4 linked regions of the Drosophila melanogaster genome follow. The protein of the gene in region 1 purifies or fractionates together with the protein of each later gene. This does not show direct contact. Each region holds a gene or a part of one and is shown in the gene's direction. Other genes may lie near its edges. The genes, in order: shf, ihog, dally and boi.

Region 1 (5,860 bases):
CACCAATATTATATATGATAAAGTATATACACCGTATTAATTAAACAGTTCAAAACGGTTGCCACGTCTAGGAGGAGGATCAGCATCGGGAGCAGCCAACAACTATTCTAATGGGTCTGAGCAATAATGTTCGCTATTCTCTGTCTATATATATACAATTATACAAGATATTTAGCTGTAATTACCAGCCGATGCCGAATCGGAAATACATATACATACTTACTTAAGATGTAGCGATTCAGATACGGATACGGATACATGTAGCCGCGTACAAATAACGAGCCGATCTGTAGTTTAACTATTAAGCTCTATGAGTCATTGGGTCGATGGACCTAACCTCAGCTAACTCCCCACCAATATTCGAATCCGAATCCCTGTCTGCGAGTCCCAAAAACTTTTTCCCGGACTTTTGCCAGCACTAGAACACCAAACTAACTAACTAACTTACTTACCACCAGAGACAACCAATCAAGAAATCAGCAATTTTCGCTTTTGTTTTGAGATCTCTTTTTTACACAAGAACACAACGAATTTTGAAAGCAAGCTACGTGAACGTAGAGGCCAACCGACAAACTATATTCGACGATATATGTAGCGATATCTCGGACTATAAATCGATGCAATCCACGAGCAGAACACCAAGCGAACCCTAGCACAAAGCGCGTTATATGCAATTCTCTCTCCAAACAACCAATATTAAATACCCGTGTGTGTGTATGTGTGTTAGAAGTTATTCAAATTGAAATTGAACTCAAAATCAAAATCAGAGATTTCAGAGTGCACGAAACAGAAAACAGAAGGCGGTATCTATCGATCAAATCAATCAATCAATGAAATCAATCAAAAATTCATTTTGCGACTCAATTAATTGAAGAAACTTTTAAAGTTACAAAACAAAACAAAATACAAAAAATACAAAAAAAAAAAAAAAAACAAAAAAGGCGAGGAACCTGTGGAAGAGATTAACTAAATTCAATTTGCTTTTAAATGTACGACTAACATTAAAAATATTTATGGGCATGTAATAATAGTTCTAAATAACGCTTTGACTTCTCCTTTCAATTCTGTGAGGAATAAATTTATTGATATTGCGTGTAAAAATATTAATCATGAGAAGAAATCTGAAAGCAGAGTTAAAACTGAATGAAATCGACCTCAAGTTGTTTTTACTAAGCAATACTCTGTCTCGTCTGAGAATAATGTCTTCTTATTTAGAAATGGGAAACAGAAAAAAAGGCTGCTTACTTGAAGAATTTAATTCCCGATCACCATAGCCATTTTAATAAACAAAAAGAAAAGTCAATTTTTTTTTTTAATTTGTGTTGAGTGAATTCGATCTTCTTTTTGCTGCTGCTTCCGCTGCCGCTGGCGCATCAATTGTGTTTACTAAGCTAACGAACCTAGGGACAACAATTTATTCTTGTTTTTTTTTTTCACCTATTTTTAAATTAAATATTTTGTATATGTAGAGAAAATTTTCAATTGTAAATGTATTTGTATTTAAATGTTATGTGTGTATTCATAAGAATGAAAATAGCTACCACAATCAATGTATTTTTCCTTTATCTGCAAAACGCATTTTTATTGGGGAAAAGGAACATGGGCTACGTTGCTTTCCAGAAGTCATTGAAATAAAAACAATTGTCGAAATAGGATTTTTCCTTATTGTACGGCCAATAAACACATATGACTATTTAAATTCGAAATAAAAATGTTCGCATTTTCGATAAGGGTGTAAGTCATCGAAATTTTCGATAAAATTACCGTTTCCATGTTTAAATATAGTTAAATGGGAAATTTAATTTTGAGTTTAGTGGGGCATGGCATTCTAATATTGTTCAACTCTCTTTGTTGCTATCCAAAAGAAAACTGATTATATTTTTCAAAAAATTTCAAAAATTTAATAATTTTGAATGGGCTTTTTCAATAACTTAGCCGAAAAGAGTGGCACTGTTTTGTACGACTTGTAAACAGACACATTCGCATTTATAACAGAGCGTAATGACAATTATTTAATTTTGTATATATAGGATTTATATCGCCAAAAATCTGGGTATGAACTTTGGCCAAAAATCGATCATTTGTAGCGGACGATGTTTTGGGAAAAAAATCAAATTAATTATTTAACCCATTTTTTTAAACAATTAACAATCTGCCTTTGATACAAAGAAGCAGTTACTAAATTTAAATTGTTTAATGCTTTTAAGAGCGAGGTTGCGGCTTGAAGCGGTTTGAGAGAATTGTTTGAAGGTTCGAGAGAGGCAACCGCAGTAGTGATGCCAATTTGGCTATTTTTTTTTCTGTGCAATACAAAGCGCCATTAGATTTTATGTCCTCACCAAATACCAATACTCAGAAGCACTTTTGTATAAATAAACTATGGCCAACTGGTTTGTAGAGTTCAACGAATGCATTGGAAGGTACGTACTTTCTATCAACAATTTTCCAAAATAATCATAATTTATTGTACAGTTCTATACGCGCCTAATTTTATGACAGTCATTTCATTAATACTTAATATTCGATGGGAATTTAAGGGGAATTTGGCAATTAAGCGTCATGTGTTCTTCCTTTCTTTTTAGCAGAGCGATCCGATCGAGGGAGCGGGCATCACTGCGCTGCGATCGAAACGTTCGCCGGTTTTCGTTGGTTTGTTCAGATGAGCTCAGGAGCTGCAGTGCGACGGTCGCGCCACGAAACTTTGCGGGATTTTTCAAGTGTCGAAACCGACTCTTTTCGCGTTTGTGTTCAAGCCCCAAAGGAGCTTTCGAGCCAACGAAATACGTGCAAAGTTTAAGGCTCATGTAAATCGGAACATAAAGGACCAACAAATCAAGCTTTACTTGTTTTTTACACCCTTGTATTTTGTCAACGAAACGACTGTTTGTTTTTTTTTGTTTCAAGCCGGCGACAGCCAACGAGTACGTAAAGTGTGCAAATTTGAAATTGAAAACTAACCTGTGATCCTAAGTTTATGTGATTGTTGTGAAAATATTGCTAGACATGCAGAGTTTTAATCTCGCACTAGCGCAATTTTGTGATAAGAACTAACTAAACCGCTGAAGTGCGAAAGCACTTGCATATTTTTTACCCATATCAATGGGTATCTCACCTGGCCATTCAAATCACCTTGCTCGATTGATCGAAAGATCGAGAGTTGATGTCCAGATTGTAGGCTTAAGTGCAATTGAAAACGGGCAGAATTTTGCATGTGAGAAGTGCACAGATATAAAACCAAAACAGATAAGCTAAATTAGCGAATATAACTTTTTCGCAGGCAGATTCTTGATCTTAACTTTCCCCTAACGGAATGATAGTTTGGGCCATTTCGAAACTAAACTGATAGTGCCAAGATTATTCGAAAATTTGTCGTAAAACTAATACCCAAGTGCCAAAGCTACCGAGGTATGTAGGGTATCTGGGATGCCCGCTGGTCGGCTGTACTTGACATGTTCGTTTTGGCGCGCTCGAAAGGCGTGAAAGTCATTGTCCAACGTTGGCCATTTGATTGCCAGCTCCTTGGAGCTGTATGCTGGATGCGGCGATCTGCGAACTGGTAATGAAGTGGACTGCAGTGGAGTGGAGTGGAGTGGAATGCCTGACTCTCCAGCATGCATACATATAGACACACGATCGCCTCATCGGAATCGGAATTCTGTGGCTCTCAAGTAGCTTCTGCTTCTGACTTTGCTGCTTCTTCTGCTTGTCCTGATGCCCATGCTGCCGGTTGTCCGGCAGCCTGCGTGTCTCGCTGCGCTGCCCCCTCTCCAGCTCCGCGTCCACCAACCTGAACTTCAACTCCAACTCCAACCTCCACCTCCTGCGGCACTTGAGTCCACTTGGAGACAGGCGTTTTTATCCGCCTGTTGTCTGGCTCCCCTCCTTCTACTTCTACCCCTCCTCCTCCCACTCCCTTTTGCCACTCAATTGGTGATCGTTATCATCAGTAGGAGTAGCAACCAGGATTAATGGGCTGCGCCAGTCTAGAGCATCACGAATAGGCCAACACCCTCTAGGTCAGGTGTCACAGCTATGACCTACACGGAGAAAATAATAATCTTAGAAATTAGGCATAATAACCTTGAGCTGATGCACTAAAATCCAGCAGATACTTTTGTATCTTATATATACTTTTGTATCTTATAGATACTTTTGTATCTTATAGATACTTTAATATCTTGTAGATACATTTGTTCCTACAGATACTTTTACTTTTTCTTAAAGTAAAACACACATGAATGCTCAAGAAACAATATGCTTCCAATTGGCCAATGTCCAAACACTTGATGGGTATTTAGCAAGTCGACTGTGGCCGTCCTGTCTGCATTATTTGCCCAAGGTGTTTTTGTTGGTGTTTCACACAGTCGCTTGGTGTTACTTTGTGTGTGCCAGTGTGAGTGTGTCGCTGTTGTTTCATTAAGCAAACAGAGCTGCAAGTGCCACTTGTTGCTGTTGTTGTTGTTGTTGTTGTTACTGGACATCATTTAAATCGGTAGCCGGGAAAGTATGTAACTCTCCTCACTCGCTCATCCTTGCTCATCTGGCTTGCTCTTTCATTCGAAATCCTTTTAGCCGATGACTTTGTCTTTTTGAGTCAACAAATTGCTTGTACTCTCTATACTACACAGGGAGAAACATATGATATGTTTGGATATTTTCAAAGCACTTGATCCTGATATCTGATCTGAGCAAATTCGTATGTACTTATATATCTGTAAAATAAGCCTAAGATATCCAAAAAATATTGTGTAATATCTCGGTTTCGACACATTTGTTTTGGATAACTACTGCATGGGTAATTTGGAATCGATAGGGTTTCTTTTCTCGGTGTATGTCATTTTTTACGTTGGGATTGTTTATGAACAACTTGCCTCTCGCTTGCACCTGCAGTACACCATTAATGGCTGGCTGTGAGTGTGCGATTTCCAGTGCCTCTCCTCCGCCCCCACTTCCTTTTCCAGTCTCAGTTCCATCCCATCCCATCCGATCCCACTCCACTCCGACTCCAGTCCACTCCAGTCCAGTCGAGTCCACTCCGCCACTCCAAGGGGCAGCTTCTTGTTCTCGTTGTGTTGCCTTTTGTCGTACCTTGTGTGTGTGTTTGGGTTCTTTAATTTTTTATTTTCACGTCTCATCGTCGAGTATTTGTTGTTGCCCCTGTGGATGCTGCTTCTTTATTTTCTTGGTAATAAGGTGTGAGAAAGGCAATAATCGTAAAGAGCTAACAAATTGTTGTTGTTGCGCTGCTGCCGTTCCTACTTTGATTGCTACTGCCACTCCACCTCCTCCATCTCCTCATCTCTCTTCTTTCACGCTAAAATGTTAATCTGTCCCTTTTCCTCCAGCTGAAGCAATTATATCGTTGACGACAGCACTAACAATGCATGGCCATCTTCATCTTCATTCCATCGACCTGATACGGTGTTTGATAACCACTTCCCTGCACTGCACCTGATCCTCTCACAACCAAACGAAGGGAAAGTAACAGACACGCGAATTCTTCAGTCCAACAGTAGTTGAGTGCTTGCTAACTGCTCAGTGTAATGGTGAAAAGGGGTTAAGTTAATGCTTATATAGATATATATGTTTATATATATACACTTTACACCTTTATGAATATCTCCCTATTAATTGCACGCTGACTAAGCTTTCCTCAGCCTGCGCTGCGAATGCGCCTTAGCTGGAAATTCCAATTCTGATTCGGACTTAGATTGACCATGAGTGGGATTATCTATGCGCCGGTGCCGGCTATCGCCATCATGTGCTTCCTTATCGGCCGACCGACCATTAATTAGCACGAAATAAAAATAATTTCAAAACAAAGCGTGAACATCGTATTTATAGGAAATCGAGGTCTGGC
Region 2 (6,346 bases), on another chromosome or scaffold:
AAATTAAACAATAAAATTTGACCAAAGCGTCCGATTGATACAAGTGATGGAACCACAACCCACAATACAGTGCAAAAACAATCGAAAGACGCAATCGGAAACAAGGGATGCAATTAAGAAATAAGAGTGGCTTAAACTTAAAAGAAATAAAATACAGCTAAAATATTTAAATTAATTATTGTGGAATTTTCGTTAATTAATTAATAAATTAATTAAATAATTAATTCTTTTTTTTCATGTCCATAATTATATTCAGCCCTGGTATTCAGTGCATCCATATATCGATAACAACTGCTAGCCGAAAAGCAAGAAGAAGAACCAAAACAATATTTAGTTAACGAAGCATAAACAACTTAAAATCGTTGAATTATGACTGACTTTGGCGGAGACTCGGGTGGCCGACTAAAGGGCGTAACTATAGTAAAGCCCATAGTGTATGGAAACATTGCCAGATCCTTCGGCAAGAAGCGCGAGGAGGACGGACACACGCATCAGTGGAAAGTCTATTTGAAGCCCTATTTCAACGAGGACATGTCCATTTACGTGAAAAAGGTGCATTTCAAGCTGCACGAGAGCTACGCTAATCCGAACAGGATCGTAGTTAAGCCGCCCTACGAGATTACCGAGACCGGATGGGGTGAATTCGAGGTGATCATCAAGATATACTTCAACGATCAATCAGAGCGCCCGGTTACCTGCTACCACATCCTTAAGCTCTTCCAATCGCCTGTGGTCGATGGCGAGCTCTCCTCTAGCACCACTATGGACACTAAGAAGGGCCTGGTCTCGGAGTCGTATGAGGAAATAGTGTTCCAGGAGCCCACCCAGATCTTGCAGCATTATCTCCTGCTTTCAGAACAGAGCGCCAATGGGTTGCTAACCCATGACACTGACTGTAACTATGAGCTGATTACCATTTTGAATGTTTACTCATTAGATATATACTTTTCTAGTTGAGGAAAAGAAGACGAAAACGTTGGACAACATTGTGAATGTAAAACAGAAGGTCAAGGGGGAGATTGTTACACTTAAGGACAAACTAAAGCTGGCACGTGAGACCATTTCGAAGTTCAAGGCAGAATTGGCGAAGGTGCAGAAGCAACCTGCGTAAAATGTGCATAATTCTCTATAGAAATAATCTAAAAATTATTAATTAAATAAAATATTGGAAAATGTATTTTATTATTTTAACGGTGATATCCAATTCTTGGCTTCGGGTAACTAATTCAAATCTAACAAAACGGTTTAGGACATAATTTTATAGTATTGCAAATTATATCGATGGCTATTGATGTGGATCAGTGCAGTCTCTATAAACAGCTGAATTCATAATTCTATATAAATGTACAAAGAAACTACACTTCAAATTCATTGACTATGGTGCCATTGACTATATAACGTCGTAAATCTTACATGATTTGGTGTTTATTATTTTCTAAAAATATATGTAGCTTTTGTATAATATAAATTAATATTAATATTACTAAATATTTTTTTACTTAATTAAAATCAATTTAATAACGAGTGCTTTTGAGTAAGTTTCAATATGAACTGAATAAATGAATTTGATCTGATACCAGATAGATTCAGTCCACTGTACCGCGATGAACCGATGAATTCGGAATCACCGGTTCGCCGGTGAACGATGCAATGCATCTGAACCAGCGTCGCGGTTCGTTCTCCAGTTCCAGTTCCAGCATCCCCATGGAATAATAAATGCCATTGTTTATTTGACTTGTTGAGTGCATGTGCTTGTCCGGTGGCTTCGGGGCCCGATCGAAGCCCGAATTAAAGATACAATGATTTTATGGAGCTGCGTCGTTAACGTGTAATGTGCATAAATAATTTAGGCCCACGATTCCACGCACGCACACAGACACACATATGTATATAAGCCATAAGTGATGCGCGATAGCCGAGAGTGAAAATTATTAACTGCGCAAACGCAAACGCGTTTCCCCACCTAGAATCAGTCTAAAATCCCATAATAAGGTGAGTAATGCCATTAACTCTTAATCCTTTGAGTTCAAATATTCAATGATATTTTCGTGAAATTTTCAGTGCCCCCTCCAATGACGCTGCTCACATCCTCGCTGCTGCTCTTTTCGCTGCTGACGTCGCGGCTCGAAGCAATTCCGGTTTTGGAGAAGTCCCCCGCCCATCCTGCCCACTCTGCACATCCCGCACATCCCGCACATCCCGCACATCCCGCGCATCCATCGCCTGGCGTGCGAATTCTTCGCGCACCCGAATCTTTGGTGGCGCCCCTGGGAGACGAGGTGGTGCTGGAGTGCGAGACCAGTTTGCAGCCAGAGCGCTTCGAATGGAGCCACCGGTCCAGCAGATCTCCGGGAGCGGGGTTCAAGTACCTTAAGACAGGCACGGCCAAAGCGAATGTCTCCCAGGAGGCGGCCATCTCGCGACTGAGGGTGCTCGTCCGACCAGACACTCTAGGCGAGTACCGATGCGTTGGCTGGTTCGGTCCGCTGGTGGTCACGTCTACCATTGCTCGATTGGAGCTGGCCAGCACTAGCCTGGTGGACGCTCAGGAATCGGAATCACCCCTCCAATGGCGGGTGTCTGCTGGAAACTCTGTGCTCTGGTCCTGCGGACAACAGGTGCAATCGAATCCATCTGCCAGTTGGTCCTACTATCGAAACGGAGTGGAAATCAAACCGGAGTTCATCGGAACCAATGGAAATCTTTTTCTAAGCAATGTATCCTCCGAGTCGTCAGGCAGCTATTCCTGCCAGGCAACCAATCCTGCCTCTGGCGAGAGAATTCAGCTGCCCGGCTCGCTGCAACTACAGGTTACACCAGAGCAGAGGTCGGAGAGTAAATCTCCACACTTGCTCAGGGGACAGCCGAGCTCCCAAGAAATTACCATACGCGAAGGGAGTTCGCTGTTGCTGCTGTGTCCTGGAGTTGGCTCACCGCCACCGACGGTTGTCTGGAGCAGTCCCGATGTCGTGGGAGCTGTTAAGAACAAGCGTTCGAAAGTATTTGGACACGCTTTGGAGATATCCAACACCCGAGTTAATGATGCTGGCACCTATATTTGCTTTCAAGATAATGGAGTGCGGCCTGCGTTAGAACACTACATAAAAGTGCATGTCGAGCAGCCGCCTCAGATTGTGCGACCACCCTGGGCCGATCTTACCAACGAGGGCGATCGTTTGAAGTTGGAGTGTAAGGCCACAGGAGTGCCAACGCCAGAGATCTACTGGCTGCTGAACGGTCACAGCAGCATCGATGATTCTGAGGCTGAGCTCTCCAATAATTTCCTGATATTGCACAGCGTCTTGAAGCGTCATGCGGGCTATGTCCAATGCTTTGCACGAAACAGACTTGGTGAGCACAGTGCGGGTACACTGCTGCAGGTGAATCCCAAGCAGATTCAGGAACCCCGGGAATCGGGGGGTACACACAGGCCCAAGCCCAATCAGGGTTCCAGGCAGAAGCAGATGTATCCACCGACTCCTCCAAATGTAACCCGACTTAGCGATGAATCCGTAATGTTGCGCTGGATGGTGCCCCGAAACGATGGGTTACCAATTGTCATTTTTAAGGTTCAGTACCGCATGGTTGGCAAGCGCAAGAACTGGCAGACAACCAACGATAATATACCGTATGGAAAACCGAAGTGGAACTCCGAGCTGGGCAAGAGCTTCACGGCTTCGGTGACGGACCTGAAGCCTCAGCACACCTATCGTTTCCGCATCCTAGCCGTTTACTCCAACAATGACAATAAGGAAAGTAATACCTCGGCGAAATTTTACCTGCAGCCAGGTGCAGCACTTGATCCGATGCCGGTGCCAGAGCTTCTGGAGATCGAGGAATACTCTGAAACCGCTGTGGTGCTGCACTGGAGTCTAGCCAGCGATGCGGATGAACACCTGATCACTGGCTACTACGCCTACTATCGACCCTCGTCCTCGGCAGGGGAATATTTCAAGGCAACCATTGAAGGAGCCCATGCTAGAAGCTTTAAAATAGCACCCCTCGAGACGGCCACCATGTACGAGTTCAAGTTGCAGTCCTTCAGTGCCGCCTCTGCATCCGAATTTAGTGCCCTTAAGCAGGGGCGCACCCAACGTCCCAAAACCAGCACCACAGAGGAGCCAACACTGCAAATGGGCGACCGCGATACAACAACTCCCAGTCATAACGAGACATTCAATATGAGTCCCATGCTGACGGGAACAATCGGCGGCGGGGCAGTGCTCATTCTGCTTCTGATTAGCACCTGTTTCTGTGTTTGCCGGCGTAGGAATTCCAGAAGCCGGGGAAACAATCCAAACAAGCCACGGATGGCGGAGCTGAGAGATGACTTTGTGCCGCTGGGCAACTGCTCGCCCACCAAGCAGCGCCAGCGAACACGACACATCCACATAACCTTGAATCCACTCGCCCAGCAGCAGCAGCAGGCGCTGGAGGAGAAGAATGACACAGACCAGGATGCGCCCTATTATCAGCGGCCGTCGAGCTATGACTACGATCCCACGCTGCGCAGGATGTCCTCCTCCTCGCTGCGTCGCTCACAACGCACGCTGGAACGTGCTGGCGGCAGCAATGGCTCCAACAACGGCAACAACAACAATCTAAATCAATCCGCAGAGGCGGGTTCCATCGAAAATCCCGGCAAGCCGGGTCGTGTACTCATGAAACGCCCCCGTCTGTCCAGTCGCTCCGAGAACCTCTCCTCCGGCAGCCTCAACAGCGTTGGCGTGTAATCGCAATCTCGTGATCTTTAGTCTGTGCATCCCTACGCCCGATGTACCATGCTATTCCTCTACCTCTGTTTTATCTACCACTTTGAATGACAAAACCTTTGCTGTTTGTACTTAAATAGGTACTTAAATAGACATAACTAGATTTATGTATGCATGATCGTTTAAGAACATAGCATTATGTCCATTCTACGCTAAGTCTTCCATTTTTCGCGATAAGATCAAAATCTGTACTGATAGCTTCTTAATGACCTATACAAAAATGACAATAAAGCTTGTAGCTTCACCTTTTAACCTTAAAAGAGTTTTTTAACATAAACATAAAGGATTTAGCCAAAAAAATGACATCTCAAGCTAAAAGTTAAAAAACAAAATTATAATTTAAATCTTTGGTATATTTGCGGTATATCAAGTGTTGAAACAGTATTTTTTCGCATTCAATGAGTGGCGTTAGGGATTTGTGCAACATCCGATGGCGTTTGGGATTTAATAAGCTGTCAGCCAATAATTGGGTCGTCGTCAAAATTTCTATTAAAATCGTTTCTATTCCTACATATTTTGGCCGGAAAATCAAATGAAGCTGTTACGCTAGGGACGAAGCTGCACCTTACCCGCACCGAACGTAAGACACTGCTCGTAGGCCCCAGAAAGTGCACAAATTTAAGCGGTTCCCTTTGTTTTCGCAGTGCCAGCAGCAGAGGGCCTGGCCCCCGAAAACAATACAAATCCAAAAATCGCAACTGGACTGAATTGGGCAGGATGTCGAACCTATCCGTGGGCCAGATTATAATGGATGCGCAGCGCATGGCCAGTCGGGTGAAGGACCTGGACGCCCTGGGCACGGCGCTGCTCGAGGAGGCGGAGAACAACAATCGGCTGGTGGAGAGCCTTCGCCAGTATCAGGACGACATTGAATCACTCAACCGCATTTCGAACAACAAGACCAACGCGGACATGGTGAATCGCATTCAGCAGCAAAACATCAACAGCTCGGAGATACTCAAAGAGAATCGCGAGCTAAAGATCTTCATTGAGGACTACGAGCGTGCCATGGAGCTGATGATGCAAAAGTATCGCGAGCACACCGTCTCCAAGGTCCTGGATAGCAAGTTTAGCTTTAAGGAGCTGTACAACGAACGCATGTGGCAGGTGATCCGGGAGCAGCGCGAGAAGATCAACGAAATGGCAGCAGTGATGCAGCTAGCTGCAAGTGTAGATGACGGTGTCGTGCAGCGAGAGCTGCAGACCATATCCCAGCTGCGTCTGGAGAACGAAACGCTGCGCGAGCTGCTGCAAATCTCCAAGCAGTACGGCTCCTCGCAGCGACCGATTCGTGAGAGCGACCACCTGCTGGAGGAGAAGGCTGTGCAAACGGACAGTACGGCGGACGACTCCGCCGACGATCTGTCCATATCGGGCGCCTCGGTGGAAAACATGAACAACAACTCGGTTATCCAGATGTACAGCAGTCCGGAGCAACCGGCTAAAGTCGCCGGCACCACGAACTCATTTAACACTGCACCAGTGCATAGTCAAAGTGAAACACAAGCACCAAGTGTGACATTGGAGACGGCGCCGCCGGGGGAAGAGCCGCTGGCGAATGATAACAATAACGG
Region 3 (5,525 bases), on another chromosome or scaffold:
ATTTTGCTGCACTAAATCAAGCGTTTAAACGAAATTCGAGTTGGGCCAACAAGCCAACGAGCCGAGCTAAAAGCGTTCATATTTTCCCGATCGCCAAAAAGAAGCACCATAATTTATAGATGCCGTTTGACTAAATTCGTTTAATTCCAGTCCTACCTTTACCCACACACCTATATAATATATATGCCTACGGTTTACCTGTGCGATACAAAAATAAGGAGGAAAAAAAAACGGAAAATAAGGCGAGAGAGCGAGAAGTAAAAGGGTTTTGGTTTTGGTTTCGGTTTCGGTTTCTTTGGGACCTTCGCTCTCATCGATCGTTCCGTAGTGTACATTATAATTTATAACTTTATCTAAACGATGTGGTGGTGTTTAATTTTCGACCTCACCTTTTCCAGCTCGTTTTTGTTTTTTGTTGCCGTTTCGCCATCCCATCACCATCATCATCATCATCATCATCACGGTTGTTTCTGATGTGGATTCGTTTCATTGGAGAACTGTTTCCGCTTCGCATGACTCACTTTTCGCTGTTTGCCCCGGGGTCTTGAGTCTTCTCCTTTTTTTTTTCTTATTTTTTGGGAGGTCTTTCTTTATCGCACACTAATTTGAATAGGATTCCATTTCGTGATGAACATATCACCGGGAACGGAAAACATCCATGGGGGGTGGGAGGGCGTTTGCGCCCAGCTGGACGCCCGCAACTGACCACCATGAAGTTCCCGCTGCCCTGGCTATATAGTATCTTGTTAATGAAGAAATAGATACACAGACGCCCCGAGACGCCTAGGTATTTAAGATCGAGGTCGGTGCCCGCGGGGTGACGAGTGAAAGTCCGGGGAGAAGAGGCTGGTGTGTTCGGGTCGTGCATTGTCTGCCACACCGCTGCAGCCTCAAGACAATCGCTTCGTTTTCGCAAATTGCAAAGGGAAAAAATTAACAAAAGAAAAGAAATGAAGAAAAAAAAACAAACGATACCACCACACGTGCTGTGCGAGGTCATGACACGGCTATCAATTTGAACAGAAACATTTAGCCCTAGGGAAATAGCTGCCAAGCATCTGAGACTCTTCAAAGGCGTGAAATCTGAGCCTGCTCCACGGGTTCATCAAGCCGATCGTAAAACATAGCCTATGAAATAAAATTAGAACTCATTCAGACATCAATTAGAACCGAGCATGCAAATTTCAACCAGCGGCATCGATAAAAGCCCGGATTAAAAGCCACCGGAGCACCCGAGAAGACCACTGTGAGATGGATTGATTTACGTTGAATATGCAAATTGCAGCGAGCCAACGTTGAAAGCTTTTAGAAGAGCATTTCGAGAATTTGAATAAATATTTAGGCCCATCGGACACAGAGAAAAATAATCAGAATCAAGCCAGCTCCTGTGGCAGATGACACGGCCAGGGAAAACTCGAAGTTGGTCCTGAAGAATGCCGGAACCCATAAATAAATGCGAATCACTATTGAAATATATAAAACGAAAACAGGATATGTGTCATATCAAATTTTATGGAACTACGTAGATTCATTGGCTGTCGAAATCGTTTGGCAATCATCGAAGAGAATAGATATCTTACGAAAGCTAAGCTTGCGTTACTAACTTTAATTTCCCCTTTTACTCATACTACATGCTGTTAATAAATACAACATCTTATAAATTGTGGTTGGGCATTCCTTAATTAAAATACTTTATAATATCTAATAAGCATTACAAAGTTTGTGGTTTAGTTCGAAGCTCGTTTTCCAAAACTCTAAAGACTCAAATTAATTAATTCATTTCAGATTGCGCCCTTGTATTACTCATGTATTCTCGGCGTTAACCTGTGAATTAAATTGAGTTCGCATAAACACCTCTATTCATTGCACCACTGTGCCAACATCTGTGCTCGCCGTTCTCTTTTGTTCGAAAGAGAGCGTTCGGATGGTTCTCTTAGCGCCGATTGTCGAGTGCCGAGTGTGGTTCGTGTTCGCATCGTTAAAGTTGTAGCACTCAGGGCGGATGTTTGATTTCGATGGCAAAGTCAATCTGTTCGGGTTTCTCGTCGTGGAAGGTTCGTTGCGCGCGCGGAAAAACTGAAAATATCGGTGCGAAATTCGAGCGGAAAAACGCTAGAAAAGAAGGCGAGTGCATTTCCTCGACCTGAGAACGCCGGTGGCCAAGGAGCTTTGCAATTAAATCTATTTTCGCCGACCTAAGTACACAAAACGTAGGAGAAAATTAAAAAGAAGAAAAAAAAAACAAATCTAATCGCTGGCAAATCAATTGCTAAGGAATTGAGTACTATTCGTTGTTATGTCATGGAAAGTCTCTGAATAAGTTAAGAAAATACTTGTGAGAAATTTAGCGACCTTTCAAAACTAGAAAGTAGAAAAGCAAAAAGTGCTAGACACGCGCTCTCTCTTCGACCACCACCCACCACCACCCACTATCGCCATCCCACGTTTACTACCACGTTTATTGCTCACGCGTGTTTTTGGGGCCTTTTGTTTTGTGCGCTCGTGTTTGTGGCCGTGTGTGCCAGTGTGTGTGTGTGCGTGTTAGCCGGCAAGTGCATTTGTGTGAGTGTGTGTGTTTGTTGCCGCGAACAGCTGTTCACCCAGACAGCATGCAGAAGTAAATACGAAGAAGTGCTGCAAAATAGAGTAAATAAAATAACCGGCTAAAATAAAAATAAGAGAAGCATTCAAAGGCAAATCAAATTTAGCCCCATCATCCACTGTGTCTGCACACAGAAATCACCCATCAAAAATGGCGGCCAGGAGCGTGCGGCTAGCGCAGCTTTTGCTATTTACCCTGCTCTGCGGCTTCGTCGGCCTGTCAGCCGCCAAGCACCTGGACCTGGATGGTATCCACCACCACCAGCACCACCTGCACAGCGCCACCACGCACCACAGACGTCGCCTACAGCGGGACTCGCGGGCGAAGGACGCCGTTGGGGGATCGACCCACCAGTGTGATGCCGTCAAGAGCTACTTCGAATCGATCGACATCAAGTCGAGTGGGACTTACAGCGAAAAAGGTAAAGTTCACGCCATCCATCCGTAGAGTTATAATATCGAGTATGCACTTGGACATGCGGGCTGGGGAAGAAGCGGGGAACGATGGAGGAAGTTAAAGCTACCAATATGGTTAAGGCCCCTTAGGAGCAAACGTACTAACTTTAAACTATGCAGAGGAAAACGTATGTTATTTCCCCAGGTCACTAGAGTGGTTCGAATACTTAAAGTCTAAGTTATCTACTCCATTAAATAAGAAAGAGGTACATAAATTGGGATTATTGATAATGGTTTTTCAATTTAATTACTTTTGCATCCTCTCCGTTTAAAAACATTTCTTTTGCGGGAAATTCATTGCCTTGATTTCAGAGTTTGTCTTAACCCTCGCCTCGCCATCAGTCTTCCATACTTCAACCAAGTAAATCGCGCGTCAGCCAAAGTTTTTGCCATCCCGCAGCTGCAGTTTCTCTTATTTCTAGTCCGTTCTAGACCCCATCCGCTTCTCAATCCCCGCCAGAAACTAGAAGCATATGCAAATTCATTGAACTGAGTGAAACCCTCGAGCGGGCAGCCACTCGAGGCGAACTATGACCACTCGAACAGCCGGGCGCCGTTTGCAATTAGAAGATTGCGCATTGAGCAACGCCTCGGAAAAGTTTTCGACGTGCCGTGGATAAAGTTTTTGGCCGCGCCAGGTTCATTACATATCGGATCTGGCACCTCGCAGATGCAGAGATACATAGATACACAGGCGGCGGCATCATTTGTTATTCTGATTTCTCGACACTGCCATATCAAGTGGCACGCATCTGAGGCCAAACTGTGTGAAGGCTATGGAAGGTATATTTATATTTACCACAGCCGATATCCACAAGATACTCGACATATTTTTGTTTATGCATATTTCATACCCGAAGTCAAAAATAAGACCGAATAACCAAATAATGCAATACAATCCGATAATATCAGTCGAAAACGAGCGAATGTACCCAATATATATCTGTTTCGTGTAATTGAGTGAAAAATAATTATTATTGATTAGCCGACCTTGACTTGGTATTTACGCGTTTACGCACAATTACATGATACACAGCCGCAAACTCGACTGGAATACAAATGTATCTGGCGATGATGTTGCAACTTTTCCCTCCAATGCTTACCTGTCTGCAGAGGTTCTCGGTTCTCTTTGCTCATTCTGTTCAGTCGTTCCCACACGCAGGTAGTTAACGCCAAGAAGAACTATCTATGAGATACATTGCTGAGCAGACCGCATTGCCATGGCATCAAAGTGTGAAGAACCGAATAGCCAACCGAGAGTTGGCGTTACAAGTGCATGTTTGTGTGTCCCAGAGACTTATCCACCTGAATGCCAGAATGCCCAATTGAACTGGTAGCTGGAAGTTATTAGCGCTGGCTTTGAGGAATTTCAATTTGGCTAATGCCAGGCGGCGTATCTCCGATCAGCACCTATGTATGTATCTCTGTATCTCTGGTCGTTGCTCCTGCTTAAGTATGCCGAACCTTGTTTTCGACATTTATTTACTGTTTACATAGTTCCACTTGCGCCTGCCTCCGCCTCCGTAGAATTTATGCCCCGCCAATGTATCTATGTATATCTGTTAATGTATCTGTATCCGTACAGTACGTATCCGTATCTCCATCTATATCTCTTTCTGTTTGCTCTGGAGTGTGTTACTTTTACGTTTATGTGCTGTTTGTGATGCTAATCTCTCGTCGGTGCCATGCATACGATATGTTTCTCCCGATTTGCTTTTGCCGTGCAGTTCCCGGTAGAGGCGCTCGGCATAAAACTAAATTTTAATTTAATTGCGCACACCACTCGACTGCTAATTGAGTTGGCTTTGCTTTTGGGCCAAAAAAAAAAAACAGTATTACTCCGTGCCTATTAAAATGAACATTAACATTGGCGCGTTACAAAGACGCACAGGAAGTCGTAGCTGCAGTATCTAATCGTATCGCACAGTATCTGTATCTGTTTACCTGCAAGTATCTGTAGTATCTGTATCTATGCTTAAGGCATAGCAGTTCCAATGCCCCCGACCGTGTTACTAAATATTTAAGCAACTCGCAACAGAAATTAGAGCAAGCCATGAGATATGAGCCCATGTATCCGCGTATCTCCTCCGCCGGCAAGTGTTTGTGTGCCGCCTGGCTAGATAAGTGAAAAGTGCAAATAGAGAAGGCAAAGGCAAACGTGACTCGTTTGGAGCGGGGAAAACTGCTTAGCAGACAACTTTTCAAACGGATTCCATTTCCCTGACATGTACGTAGGTATGCATACCTGCAGTTTGGGTGCGTGGGCCTACGCTTATGCTTTTGCCATCAAAGGAGCTCATCCTCGAGTAAAAATTTTAATTAACTAGAGAACTGCGCATATGCCCCAATCCCATACCCAAATCATTAGTGGTTAGAGGAAGAGCAGCACAGCTCACTATCGCTCGGCACTGCCAATTAAAAGTTGAAGTTCCATTCCATGTGAGATGGCAAATGGCATAGAACTCCAC
Region 4 (5,547 bases), 4.3 Mb from region 1:
GTACTCCTTTCGAAGCCAAGCTCAGGTCACACAACTCTAAAGCTATATATTTGATCATACCCGAACACCAGTTATCTATAGGTAGAAAACTCTTGCATAGATAGGTAGTTCAACGTAACCATATCCTATAGGAAAAACCCTTAAAACAGATATCTGTGCAATCTATCCTGAGATACGGTAGCTTTAGCTCAATGTAGTCGAAATGTACTCTGCTTTGTGACCATATCTATGAATACTATTATTATTGTTACCAGCAAGGAATACCTATAAACCATATGAAACAATTATAAAATTATATATAATTTTACCAGATCTCAAAAAGCTGACTACGTTATTATTTGATACAGCTGTGTATTATCCAAGCTTATTAGCTAGATGTTCTTATAAAGATGGGTAGTTCTGAGATGCATAGTTTCCCAATTATTTAAAATAATATAATATATGTCAATAAAATAATAATATGGCATGTAAGAAGTTATAAATTCAAATTTACATTGACATTGAGTGTACGAAGAAAACCATAGTTCTTCTTCGCGTTGAGGCAAAGTCTGAAAATGCAGTTTGGCGAGGCTTTTATCAAATTTTATCAAATATAAGTAATGTATTTATTAAAGTTAGACCGCACACATTTGATTTTATAATAATTTTTTATAATAATTTTTTAATTACAAGTTTTTATTTTTTTAATTTATTTACAATTTCTCTCGTTTCTTCATTTTATTTAATTAGTAACGACGATCCACTGGGAGGAACCGAACCGCCAGTCGTCTGAGGACACAACCAACAGCCGAAACTAGCTTTTTAATTAAACATTAACAAATGAAACAAAACGAACAACAATTTTTATATATACAACATATGCATAAGCCCAAGAAAATCCACAAAAATTGAATATTATATCACTTACACATAATATAAAAAAAACAAAAACAAAAGAGAAACGATCACTTCAACTACAATTGCTTCTTCGATCCTTAAGTCTAAGTTAAAGATTGTAGCAAGGAAAAATGCGAAAATATCACAAACATTTATTTAACAAAAACGCCATGCAAGAAGTGAAACGAAACAGATACAATAATGCAACTAATGCAAAATAATACAGAAAATACAGTTAAAGCCTAGAACCCTAAGAACTTACTAACTAACTCGAGCAACAACAACGCATACTAGCCAACTGCAACCACAAAATCCACAATAGTGAAGGCATTTTAATCATAATTTTAGTCTCTAGCTTATACCTATGACTACGACTCTTTTTTTGCCAGCCCAGTGTAAAAAGTTGGAGATCGAAAATTGGCCCTACACACATACAAGACCACGTTATTGATTAAAAACCAATTGATAATACACCTACATACATATAATGATAAATGAATTACTAAGAATGCAACTATTGTGAACGAGCGAAAACCGTTGAGTGGATAAAAGCGAATGCAGAAGATATATTAAAATGAAATCAACAACAGTCTGGAATGTGTTTAATTGTGGGAGGAGTTCTTCATTCATAAATCATCATTTCCATAGATCATCTTCATCTCTATTAACGATTAAGATTAAGGATTAAGGATTCAGAATAAAGGTATTTATTATACTCATTATAAAACTTAAAAGGTATGCTCACAACAATCATTAGTTCCGACTTCCGTTATAATTCATTTGTAATATCAAAATACAGTGGCCTCCTCCCGATCAAGCAAATTCAAAATTGTAAGAGAAGAGAAGAATTCAATTACATTACAACAAAAGAGAAGAAAGAAGACAACTTCAAAATGTTCTCTTTTGGTTTCTCTCTTGGTTCTCTGCTCTTTCTCATCAAGATTTTCGAAGCGCGCCCAAAAGTATGCACGAATTGATATAAGTACTACATTACGTTACTTGGCTCACTTCGCTTCGCGCCGCCGAGCAAGAAAGACGTGTGTGCGGAGTCTGCGCGAAACTATAACAGAGTTATATTTGAATATATATCTCAAAATAAAATCGTCGTGCTAATAACGGTTATTTGTTTACCTTTTTTTTGGCTGTTCTAAATCCCTGTGAGTGCTGGTTCGGCTGCCCTTGAGGTGCATTCAAATTAGGAAGTGCAAAGAAAGAGAGAGCGAGAGAGAGAACGAGCGAGAGCGAGAAAAGTGCGTGTGCCAAGTTTGTTTTTATTTTTATAACGGCAGCCGGCTAAAAAGGCAGCGGCGTCGCGTAGGAAACACCTAATAACTATAAATTATGCCCTGGCGGAACATCAATACTTGGCGAATGTCCGTCGAGAAGTGATCTCCATATCCCCAGAAATTCGATTTAAGCCGATGCCAATCGCCCTGTTCTCGAGTGTGTGCATGTGTGTGTGTGTTCGAAAGGCTTTGAAAATGCCATAACATTTTAATGGGTTTCTGTTATTTGGACTGCCTTTTCTCTCGGCTCTCATTGTTCTTTTACTGCTTGTTTCTTATGTGATGGGAAAATCGCAAGAATGCTGCGACCAGTGATCAAAATCTAATCAAAATATTTACCGTTCGTTTAGAGTGCGACAAGCGGCGCAGATTGGAATTGGATTTGGATAGAGGATTTAGCTGCCCTTCGAGGTTTCAGTCAACAGGTGAGTTTTGCAACGGTAAATGGCCAATGGCCAGTGGCCAGTGTCTCGAAAGTAGTTCATCTGGTCAGTGCAGTCCGTAAATGTCGGTAAATCAGAGAAACCCCCTTCCCCGGAATTACCACTGCCATATCGATCGATTCCAGTTGACAAGTTTTTCGCGATGGTCATGTGGCCATGTCCTTTTTTGGCCAACAGGCGATGGCCAATGGCCAATTGCCAATTGCCGTTACTCTTATGTGTCAGCGGGCCCCCAACAAAATCACAAAATAACAACAAGTGTTGCACATCAAATCCAGCGCGTACATAAACCAGAAAAGTGCACAACCAAACCTGTCATCCGAGGTGGCAGGGGTCCCAAGACCATCCTTCATTCCCCTTTTTGCTCGTTGATAACATTAATGAACTGTCTATGTGCCGTGCACCAGAATAGAACCCCAAGTTGGGAATGGGATGGGGGATCGGGAGAGGTTGCACAACTACAGTGGGCCCTCCGTAATGTGGAGATCCTTAGACCAATATGTGAAACAATTATTATAATTCTTTGCAGAACTTAACTTTTCTCAAGAGTTTTTTTTTGTTTTTTTTTTGTTGTTGTATGCGCGGAACATAACCACCAGTTTCTACAGTCTCCACAGTCCGTCGTTTGCCAAGTCCACCTGTAGCTTAAGCACGCACATTTCTGTTGCCATTGGCAAGAGGTGAGCGAGCGGAATGCAACAGGCAGCTGGTCGCAGAACAAGATCATCTGGGAGAAGAGAGATAGAGATACATAGATGCATTCAGGGAACCGGACACTTGGCCAAAACCAAAACTAAAACCAATACCAATGCCAAACCTGAAACCGGAGAGCATTCCCATTTTCCAGCCCGTTCCCGCTAACAATAAATCAAAGGGCCGGGGGAAAAGCCCAACAATAAAAATCAAGCCAAGTGTCGTCGTCTCATTCTGCAGGCCAAAAAAGGGATGGAAGGCCAAAGGGGAATGGGAATCGGAATGGTCAGAGAGCCTTTGTCTCGTTGTTGATGGGATTTCATTATTACTTTCGATTGTGGCCCATTGAGACACAGTTCCTTAGCTCCGTCTTGTTCGTCGTCGAAAATGCAGACAAACAAAAAGGTCTCTCGGTCCAAACAAAAATAAACACACCGAGCAGCATCATCACCATCATCGCCGTCATCGTCATCGTTCTCATTCCCATTCCCATTCCCAGTCGCAGTCCCAATCCCAATCTTGTACCATCCACGTCGTCATCTTCCTGGTCTCCTTTGCTGCAACTCTAATCGCATAAGCAGATAGACCAGGTGAACTGTGGACGAGGGGAGCAAAGCGACAGGGCCACACTGAAAGAAGGTAGAAAATAAATAAAGCGATAAATGGAAAATAAATTTCAAAAAATTGCTTTTCAAGTGGCCCAGCAAACGAAACCCCCGCCCCGAAACCCAGGGCCCTATTCGATGTGGGGTCCACTCCAGCAGACTAGAGTCAGTCTGGCTAGCTACCGATCTGAAACATGGCTCTAGCCAGGTCCTTTTCACTGTTGAATCATTCGGGCTGCAATGAATCAATGGGAAATGGCTTAGCATAAAACGGGATAATTGGATGGGACAGTAAAGGGTCTCGATCTTGCAAGCATCTTAATTGCATCAATCGTACAGCCCACCCAGGCATGCGATTTAGAGTTAGAGGAGTGAATTCATTCCGCAAATGAAGAGCTTAACTCATAGCTGTACGCATTTCCAATTGATCTCGGCCACTATTTCCCATTCTGTGCGCTCGAATTTCATGGCCAAAACGTCCGCGATCGATTCTCACACCCCATTAGCACTGATCCACTGATCCAGTTTCCATCCAGCCCACATTCATAGTCATAGTCATAATGAGGAAAACAGAATGCTCCGAGTGCATTTGCCACAAAATTAGACATTGACACCTATTCCCCTTGGGATTTCGATTTCGAATTGGGTTCCGTAAAAACGGCGCATAAAAATTATTTCACGCCACACCAAAATGGGCCCCCAAGAAATTATGATTAATGCTGAAAACATAAATTGGATTTGATTTCTGTTTGTTTGCCGCTTTCTTGCAGCTTTGCCTCGCTTTTACTCGCTCTTTTTTCGGCGTTTTTGTGTCTTTGGGATTTGTTTTTGTTGGTCTTGGACTTCATGGATAACTTCCCCTTCGCCCTCTCTTCATCATTTTGTGTTGTATTTTTTTTTTTTTTTTTTTTTTTGCTAGGTAGCCGCCGCCTGTTCATTAGCACAGACTAATCATTGGAGCACAAGAGGCTGCCGTGGGGCAGGAGAAAAAAAGATCGAGAAAGGTGGCAATCAACGTGAATGAATGAATGGCTGAACTCTCGTCTCGACTTTGAATCTTGTGAATGAGCCTGAGACGCGGAGACGGCATGAATGGGAGGTATTCGTTCGGTCGGTTCGGGCGAGGGGTTATGTTTCTCCATGCCTTTTTGTGATCTTCGCTCTCCACCAGCGGAAGTGTAATTGCAGACTGATTTGGCCGGGATTCCGATTCGGATTGGGATTGGGATTGGGAGTAGTCATCTTGGCCCATCTTGGCTTTTTTTATGCGGCGCCTTTGCATCACTGGGTAATTTAGCCACGAAGAAGACAAATGAGGGCAAAGAAGAGTGGTTACCAGTATAACTACCTAAACAGGCGCTGGGGGCAGGGGCGAAGCGGGGAGCACAAAACGGAAGCGCATTACAAGCCGCCAACGTAATGTGATCACATATGTTCTTCTGAGTGATGCCACTCCCACAAATCCCGAAATGCGGCCTTTACTGGAGGTGAGGTGCGTCTCAGGCACGTAGATCTTCAGCTTATCGCACTAAATACATCGGCGGGGATTGACCACATCAATTGCTCTGTTTATGCGGTTTATTGGAATGTGTATTCTACCTGGTCAGTTACGAAAGGTCCTAGTACAAGTTAAAATACGACGGT

Evidence for each region.
Region 2: the proteins of shf (region 1) and ihog purify together in Drosophila melanogaster (affinity purification with western blotting, with the first as the bait; one study listed by BioGRID). This does not show direct contact.
Region 3: the proteins of shf (region 1) and dally purify together in Drosophila melanogaster (affinity purification with western blotting, with the first as the bait; one study listed by BioGRID). This does not show direct contact.
Region 4: the proteins of shf (region 1) and boi purify together in Drosophila melanogaster (affinity purification with western blotting, with the first as the bait; one study listed by BioGRID). This does not show direct contact.

What each region holds. Positions count from the first base shown.
Region 1 is NC_004354.4:6,776,472-6,782,331, reverse strand, and holds the start of shf (shifted), read left to right. Parts: upstream 1-2,672; 5' UTR 2,673-2,921; intron 2,922-5,860. UniProt on the Drosophila melanogaster protein: Required for normal accumulation and movement of lipid-modified hedgehog (hh) morphogen. May act by stabilizing the interaction between heparan sulfate proteoglycans (HSPGs) and hh, HSPGs being required for diffusion of hh morphogen.
Region 2 is NT_033779.5:6,944,140-6,950,485, reverse strand, and holds ihog (interference hedgehog), read left to right. Parts: upstream 1-1,677; 5' UTR 1,678-1,992; intron 1,993-2,061; 5' UTR 2,062-2,072; coding exon 2,073-4,733; 3' UTR 4,734-5,022; downstream 5,023-6,346. Other genes in the region: Gas41, read left to right, coding at 370-895, 954-1,111; Fgop2 (fibroblast growth factor receptor 1 oncogene partner 2), read left to right, coding at 5,490-6,346. UniProt on the Drosophila melanogaster protein: Mediates response to the active Hedgehog (Hh) protein signal in embryos, functioning upstream or at the level of patched (ptc).
Region 3 is NT_037436.4:8,825,481-8,831,005, forward strand, and holds the start of dally (division abnormally delayed), read left to right. Parts: upstream 1-2,024; 5' UTR 2,025-2,752; coding exon 2,753-3,023; intron 3,024-5,525. UniProt on the Drosophila melanogaster protein: Cell surface proteoglycan that bears heparan sulfate. Functions as a coreceptor for growth factors and morphogens, such as the products of dpp, to regulate signaling and distribution of these ligands.
Region 4 is NC_004354.4:2,466,377-2,471,923, reverse strand, and holds the start of boi (brother of ihog), read left to right. Parts: upstream 1-1,880; 5' UTR 1,881-2,033; exon of another isoform or gene 2,034-2,319; intron 2,320-2,512; 5' UTR 2,513-2,587; intron 2,588-5,547. Other genes in the region: trol (terribly reduced optic lobes), read left to right, coding at 730-772.